2 linked regions of the Rattus norvegicus genome follow. The protein of the gene in region 2 purifies or fractionates together with the protein of the main gene of each other region. This does not show direct contact. Links are inferred from orthologs where the notes say so. Each region holds a gene or a part of one and is shown on either strand. Other genes may lie near its edges.

Region 1 (3,814 bases), on a different chromosome or scaffold from region 2:
TCTAGGATCTGTAATCCAATGTTTGGAGTAAGGATGGTATAACAAAACTGACCAGGCACTGATACCTGCTTAGGATAGGTAATATAATTGTCTGTATTTGATATAAGCTTGCAATGTTTGACCTTTATAGACATTTGATATTTTCTTAAAATAGTATGCTGCATATCCTACAGAAGTGTAGAACAGGAATGACTGTAAAGCTAAAATCAACAGTCACCTAAAATGAGTAGATATGACAGTTGACACAACCTAGAGTTGTCTGGGAAGAATTTCAACAAAGAATTACCTGGATTTGGTTAGCTTGTAGGCGTGACTGTGAAAAATTTTGTTAGTTGGGTTATTTGAGGTGGAGGACCCACCATGTACATCACCCCTTCACAGGCTGAGCCTTGGACTGAATGAGAAGAACACAGATAATATACTAACATGTATGCAGTACTCCTGTCCTCTCTGCCCCTTAACTATGGATGCAATGTGACCTGTTTTAAGCTCCTGCCACTGTGACTTTTTGACAACAATGGACTGTGACCTGGAATAATTAATTAAATAAATTGTTTTCTTCTAAGCTGCTTTCTGGTCATGATATTTTATCAGAGGAACGGAATAGAATTAAAACAATATATATAGTTTTCCACTTTTACCCAATTTTTTAATTTTTTTACCTGAAAACAAAAAACACAGTGAGCAAGCAAGTGATATATCTTTTTCTATTGAAAAAATCTTCATATATTTTAATCATCTTCCCTTCCCCCATTCTCAAAGATCTTCCTCACCTTCTCATCCAACGACCTCTATATTCTCTCTTGCTCCCTCCCTCCCCTCTCAAACACACAAACAAGCAAAACATCAGTAAGTCAAAAAAACCCCAAACCAAACCAAAGAACATAAAAAAGCCCCCTTCTTCCCAAAGCCCATGGAGTTCGTGTTGGTCAATTACTTTGAGGCATGGGGCCTGCCCAGAGTGTAGCAGATGTATATAATGACCCTCCATAGGAGAAAACGAATTTTCCATTACCAGTAGGTATCAATTGCAAATACCTTCTTGGTTAGGAATGGAACCAAGTGTGCACTTGCCCCTCAGTGGTGGGGCTTCGCCATGGTTGTTTTATAAGGTTAAGAAAGGAGATGGGCATCCACAAGTTCAAACTCCTTGAAAAAAATTAACATTCACTTCAATCTCGTTCTGCATTTGATGGTGATAATACACTCAGCAGACTGTGTATCCTGCTGAAGAAAACCTGTCTATTCTCTACTGCACCTTTCACCAAAACCACGTGTACATAAAGCATCTTAACATGGTTTGACTTGCAGGATTTTTGTAATCATTCCTCCCCTTTTAAAGGGGGCATAGTGAGTGTGTGTGTGTGTGTGTGTGTGTGTGTGTGTGTGTGTGTGTGTGTGTGTGTGTATGTGTGTGTGTGTGTGAGAGAGAGAGAGAGAGAGAGAGAGGGTGGGGGAAAGAGAGAGAGAGAGAGAGAGAGAGAGAGAGAGAGAGAGAGAGAGAGAAAGTATTGTATATCTGTGGTTTTAAACTCATCTGCTTATCATGCTACCCTGATGCTGAGGTGGGAACCCTTTGGACTCCACAGCAGGCCAGAGCCAAGCACTCACCTGTGAAGTGAAATCATGCTGCTGCAGCTGCCTTCCTTCTCTCAGGTCCCAGGACCTCACAGTGTTGTCTAAACCGCCTGTCCAGAGCTTGGTGCCATCATTAGAAATGTCAATACAGCTGGCTCCGTCTGTGTGGCCCTGGAATTGCCTGATAAAACAAACCAGACTGAATAATGATTTCCTGCCAGAGCTCAAGGTAAACACTGTTGTGTTGTTAGTTTTGGACTCACTGTGTGTCATCTCAGTGTCTGTTGGTGTGCAGTATCAAAGTAACCTTCCCCTGAGGAGCACAGGAAACAGCCCCTGCAGGTTCTGTTTCTTTTTTCAACATTCACAGCCTAAAGAAATGGAATGGCTTGCAGGATGCTGCCAGAAGCCAGGTATCCTATGGTCTCTGATAAACAGACCCAGTGAAATTCTTCCCTGGTCTGGAAAAGAGTTTAAGTACTAAGAGACAATAAAGATAAACACACAAAAACCAATTTCCTTAAGGAAAGATAAAGAACAGTCCTTCAGTGGCCAAGACTTGAACCCACAGAAAGGAAAAGGCTTCTTCCAAGAACACATTCATTTAGAAGATAATCTACCAGTAGAGCCCTTCCTGCTAGCACAGCATGAACTTTGTGTACTCAGCCCTTCTGAATCATAAAGGGCCTTGCTTTAGAAAATGTGGACTCCCAGAGACCAAGTCAAGTAGCCTCTTGACCTCAGAGGTGTTAGGTAGAGACAAAGAAAAGTACTGAGGAGGTCAGACACTGGCCAGACCCCATCCCTGGTATAAGGCTTTCTTTACAGGTGACCTTCACACAACTTTCAAAGAGAATCCAAAATCAGTAGGTAGCAGGGATTTCTGACCCCTGGAAGGGCACGAGGCAACAAGTCAGATGGGCAGTGGAAAGAATATGACCAAGGTGGGGTCTGGGCTTGGCAGATGGGGTATGCAGTGACATTTATAAACCTGACTCTACATGCTGAGCATGCTTTGGCTAGGGCAGATCAGAGAGGTCAGGACCCACCTTCAGAAACAGGAAAGACCCAGAATAGAACTGGTTAGGAATTTCAATGCCAAAAAGGTCCTTTCTTTCTCTAGGCCCCATCATACCTTATTACCACAGAGTGCCAAGCTTAGAATTTAAAAGTACAAGAGAAAGAAAAATCACCCTGAATTCTTAGCCAAGATATGAACCAGGAGTCTTTCACAAGCATGATCCCTACGTCAATCCCTGTCCCTACTCGTCCTCTCCTTTCACATACCTTATTCCCTGCTATTGACTAGCAAGTACTCAACAGTACTAGTTGGCCTCTCCATGATCACCCTGGAATGAAGGGATCTTTGTGGTACCTTTCTTCCTTTTGTTTCTTCAAACAATTGTCACGACTTTTTTCTTTCATCCTGACTTCTTATAACCTTTTCAACTCAAAGAATTATTAATCCTTCATCCCAAACATCTTTCCTTGTGTACCATCAGCAATGGTGGAGGAGTTCCTCTAGCCTCCCCCTTCATGTACATCCTCATGTGACTGTCAAGTTGTTGACTTCTGAGAATATGCTGTGTCATAGGAAATACAGGATTGTCACACAGAGGAGACACTGGCCACGCATGGCCAGTCCAAGCTAAACCACATACAAGGCACCACCCCCAACCCCCCGCCCACACACATACACACATGACTATTGCTTACTCCAGGGAGCCAGCATGCAACAGAATGCCAGGTCTGTCTACAGGACCAGAGCAAAGTTACTTCTGTGCCTGGCTCTCATCTATAAAGTAGAGGATAGAGATACAGACAGTCTTGACTTAAAATCTCTGTTTCTATTTCCCAAAGACTAAGTTACAGGTTTTCACCCAACACTACATTTGACTTAAGTGCTTACTCTTAAAAACAGTTTCTGGAATGACTCTGGTATGAGCATTAAATGGAACAAGAGGAGTGGCTGAGGGAAGAGAGAGGATCTAGAAGCCGATCAGAGGCCTGTGTGCTCCCAGGTGGAATGATCCTCTTAGTTAGTTATGGAGAAATACAGATATTTTAAAGTTATTTTGTGGTTTCAATGCAATGGAAGCTTATTTTTAATGTTCTTTTGTTGTCTTGTGTCAGTAGATTTCGATTTGCACAAACAAGACTCTGGCCAACCTCAAATCATTTAGACTGGAGACCCCTGTATTGTCCACATTGTGTTGTCCCTTGACAAAGCCACATC
Region 2 (3,914 bases):
ACCTGACCCTCTCTAAAACAGCTCTCCAGGAAATCACTCCAGCTCCCAGAACCACCCTTCCCTCCCTAACCTTGGTAATGAAAAACTTTTGAGGTACTCCATTCGGGGAAAAGAGGAAATGCCCATAATATAGCAGCGTGGGAGCGACTGGAGGCGAGAATCCTCAGGGTTCCACCCCAAGGCACCCGGGAGTGGGCAGCAATACCAGCGAGTTCAGCTTAGAATTAGGGCAACCCGTTGTCCAGCCTTCAGCCAGCCAAGGCAAATATTTGAAGCGCAGTAGTTTTATTGGTTTAATTTCTACTTTGCAGGGAAATCTAACACAGAGGTTTCCCTGAAGTTGAAACCCAAACCTAGGCCTTGAAAGGTGGCACATCATGTCGCCTGGTTTAGGCTCGCTTTTGAGACAACTCTACCAGGTTAGAACAACCCGGATTCCCCTTAGCCAGGCCGGCACTAGAGCTCTGGACATGGCTTCACAGACCCCCATCTCGGCAGCTTGGGGTGTTGGTGATCCAGAGAGGGAAGGGCATGTTTGCGGATCTCAAACGACAGTGTGGCTAGCCATTGACATAAACCAACAGTGCCATCAAGGTGTAGCAGGCCTCTTGGGTTTGCCATTAGTAGGAAAAAAACTACATCTCTGAAAGTAGCCAGACATAACCTAAGTCTTTCACTCATGCCGGATCTCTTTGGTTTCATTCATTTACACACACACACACACACACACACACACACACACACACACACACACACTCGAACAGAGAGGAGAGACAGAGACAGAGACAGAGACAGACAGAGACAGAGACAGAGACAGAGGGGAGGGAGGGAGAGAGGGAGAGAATATAAGAATATAAGCTAAATGTCTTTGGCGCGCGGGGGGTGGGGGTGGGGTGGGGTATGGTATCCCAAATCCCTGCCGCCTGTCGCTGTCCCCAGCGCGCACGAACCCATAATCCTGTATTTCTCCAACAAGTTGTGGACTTGCTTCTCTTATCTGTCTACATCCCAAATTCTAGCTTTTTCGGATCTCTTCGTGCCCTCTTCAGTCCGGATCTGAAGGAGGGGGAGGGGCGTGGGCACAGATGGGGGCAGGGCAGGCCGGACGTACGGGGCCTGAGCCTCTGCACCCCCTCTCCACCCACGGCCGCCGCCCCCGGATTATTTATCCGCAAAGTCCCGCGCGCGCCCATTGGGCCGAGCCCTGAGTGTCAGCGCGAGTCCCGGCTCGCCATTGGTCCTACACACGTGCGGCCCTGACTCACGTGCTTCCGGTTTGAAGGCAAAAAGTGTGCCTGGGTGATTTTTTTTTTTTTTTTAAGCGAGAGAGTTTGTGCAAAGATCCGAGCTGTCAGAGATTTCAGGGGGGAAAACGGAGCCCGGCACTGGCGGAGACGCGCTCTCCCTGCAAAAAAGCAAAGGCGATTAAAGGCGCTGCCAGCCTCGCGCTCTGGGCACAGCTGAGCGTGACACTGGGGAAGTCAAACCCCTCTTTACAGCCTAGGAAGATGGCTAGACTTTAAAGACTATTTTTTCCCTTTAAGGAAAAAATCTCGGAGCTTAAAAAAATCATTTTTTTCTTTTCTTTTTTTCCTCCTTTTATTTTTTTAAGCCGAGGCTTACTCCCCCATTAAGACCAATCACTGAAATCTGGTTGCTGAAAGAAAAAAAGAAAAAGAAAAGGAAAAAATAGCCAAGTGTCTTCACTGTATCTGGATGTCTACAAATTAGAGAGAGGGAGAGAGCGAGATTTGCTCCACCAGAGCGGGCGAGAGCCAGGCCAGACGCTCGGCTTTCTTTTTTCCTTCTGTACCCGCCCTGTGCCTTCGCTGAGGCTTCGCCTTGCCTCCTTCCTCTCCGCGCACCCCCACGGGCCCGCTGGCAAAGTGGGGTGGGGAGCGAGGCGCGGGGGGCGGGGGCCGGCGCCGCGGCCAGGGCTGCCGGGCGGCCGAGCATGGAAGAACAGCAGCCGGAGCCTAAAAGTCAGCGCGACTCGGGCCTCGGCGCGGTGGCAGCGGCGGCGGCGGTGGTGGCGGCGGCGGCCCCGGGCGGCCTCAGCCTGAGTCTCAGCCCAGGAGCCAGCGGCAGCAGCGGCAGCGATGGAGACAGCGTGCCGGTGTCCCCGCAGCCAGCGCCCCCGTCGCCTCCTGCGGCACCCTGCCTGCCGCCCCTGGCCCATCACCCGCACCTCCCCCCGCATCCCCCGCCCCCGCCGCCACCGCCGCCGCCGCCGCCGCCACCGCAGCATCTCGCGGCGCCTGCTCACCAGCCGCAGCCCGCGGCCCAGCTGCACCGCACCACCAACTTTTTCATCGATAACATTCTAAGGCCCGATTTTGGTTGCAAAAAGGAACAGCCCCTGCCGCAGCTCCTAGTGGCTTCGGCTGCAGCCGGAGGAGGTGCAGCAGGAGGTGGAAGCCGCGTGGAGCGTGACCGAAGCCAGACTGGTGCAGGTAGAGACCCTGTCCACTCTCTGGGCACACGAGCTTCGGGCGCTGCCTCGCTCTTGTGTGCTCCAGATGCGAACTGTGGCCCACCCGACGGCTCCCAGCCCGCCACCGCCGTCGGCGCGGGCGCATCCAAAGCGGGGAACCCGGCTGCTGCGGCGGCTGCAGCCGCGGCAGCGGCTGCAGCGGCAGTGGCAGCGGCGGCGGCCGCAGCATCGAAGCCCTCGGACAGTGGCGGTGGCAGTGGAGGCAGCGCAGGAAGTCCTGGGGCGCAGGGTGCCAAGTTCCCGGAACACAACCCCGCGATCCTACTCATGGGTTCGGCTAACGGTGGGCCGGTAGTCAAGACTGACTCGCAGCAACCCCTAGTCTGGCCCGCCTGGGTCTACTGCACACGCTACTCGGACCGTCCATCCTCTGGTGAGTACAGGGGCCCGGATGTACACACGCGTTCAGGCCCTGGCCATGTCCTAGAATTTCCAAACCCCCCCGCTCTGGGGAGAGCAAGCCAGGTTTGAAGCTCTATCAACTTCATGTTTGACTTCTCTTGCCGCGGGTCCCAGTCACAACCCAAAGTGTGCTCGATTCTGCAATGCTGGCCTTTGCCACCAAGGAAGTCACAGCTATTGGCACGCACAGAAGGCTCTAGTTTCTGTCCTTTGATTTTACGAACTCTGAGCCCTGGGGTCATTTTTATATTTTATTTTATTATCTAGAAGAAAGATATATAATTACTATTGAAATATTGAGTAGGGAAAGGGCGCTTTGAGCTGGCGGGAAGATAGGCCTAGTGGCTTGGATCTGCATCTATCGTCTTAGTCCTGCCAGCACTGGATTTAGCCAGGGAAATGAATCAGAGAAATATTCTTTGCTGCGTGTTTTAAACAAACACTGTGGATATTATTCTATGGAGAGTCCATTTTCATAAAGACAGATATGGGGGGAGACAGAAAAAAGAAAAGCGCCATCCCTTGCGCCCCGCCCGGGTATGGGGAGTCAACCCGCGTGGGTAGAATGTAGAGAAAGGCTAGAAAGGTGAGCAGCCACTGCTCGCTGGAGCTGGCAGGCCTTAGGAGAGCAAAGCAAGCAGGCCAGGGGTAGGTTCGAAAGCTGGACCCTAGGCAAGGGAATCAGCCAGCATGTGCCCAGCAGCAGGGCTCTCCTGTCTCTTCGGCCTTGATTTCTTTCTTTCACTCTCTCCTTCGCAAATGTGCCCGTTAGTAGCTATCTGTCTATCTTAGGTCAATTCTCTGCTTTCTTTTCTGCTGCTGTAGCACCTACCCAAGGTCAGCTGCTGGGCTCTGGAAGAGGGGGCTCAGGCCTGCTGCTCTTTGCACAGACCAGGAGTTTCTATGAGGGCCGTGCAGGCCTCGAGGAGAACGGCAGGGGCTTGGGTCCAGGGTCAGCGTTGGGCCCGCCAGGGGGCCAGGCAAAAGGTAGCCACAGGCGTCCCACCGCTGGCTGGTG

Evidence for each region.
Region 1: the proteins of En1 (region 2) and Tle1 purify together in Homo sapiens (affinity purification with western blotting; 4 studies listed by BioGRID and IntAct, with this or other methods). This does not show direct contact. The link is inferred for Rattus norvegicus from reciprocal best matches to the Homo sapiens genes EN1 and TLE1.

Annotation. Positions count from the first base shown.
Region 1 is NC_086023.1:90,900,779-90,904,592, forward strand, and holds part of Tle1 (transducin-like enhancer protein 1), read right to left. Parts: intron 1,760-3,814; coding exon 1,612-1,759; intron 1-1,611. UniProt on the Homo sapiens protein: Transcriptional corepressor that binds to a number of transcription factors. Inhibits NF-kappa-B-regulated gene expression. Inhibits the transcriptional activation mediated by FOXA2, and by CTNNB1 and TCF family members in Wnt signaling.
Region 2 is NC_086031.1:34,302,383-34,306,296, forward strand, and holds the start of En1 (homeobox protein engrailed-1), read left to right. Parts: upstream 1-1,301; 5' UTR 1,302-1,954; coding exon 1,955-2,867; intron 2,868-3,914. UniProt on the Homo sapiens protein: Required for proper formation of the apical ectodermal ridge and correct dorsal-ventral patterning in the limb.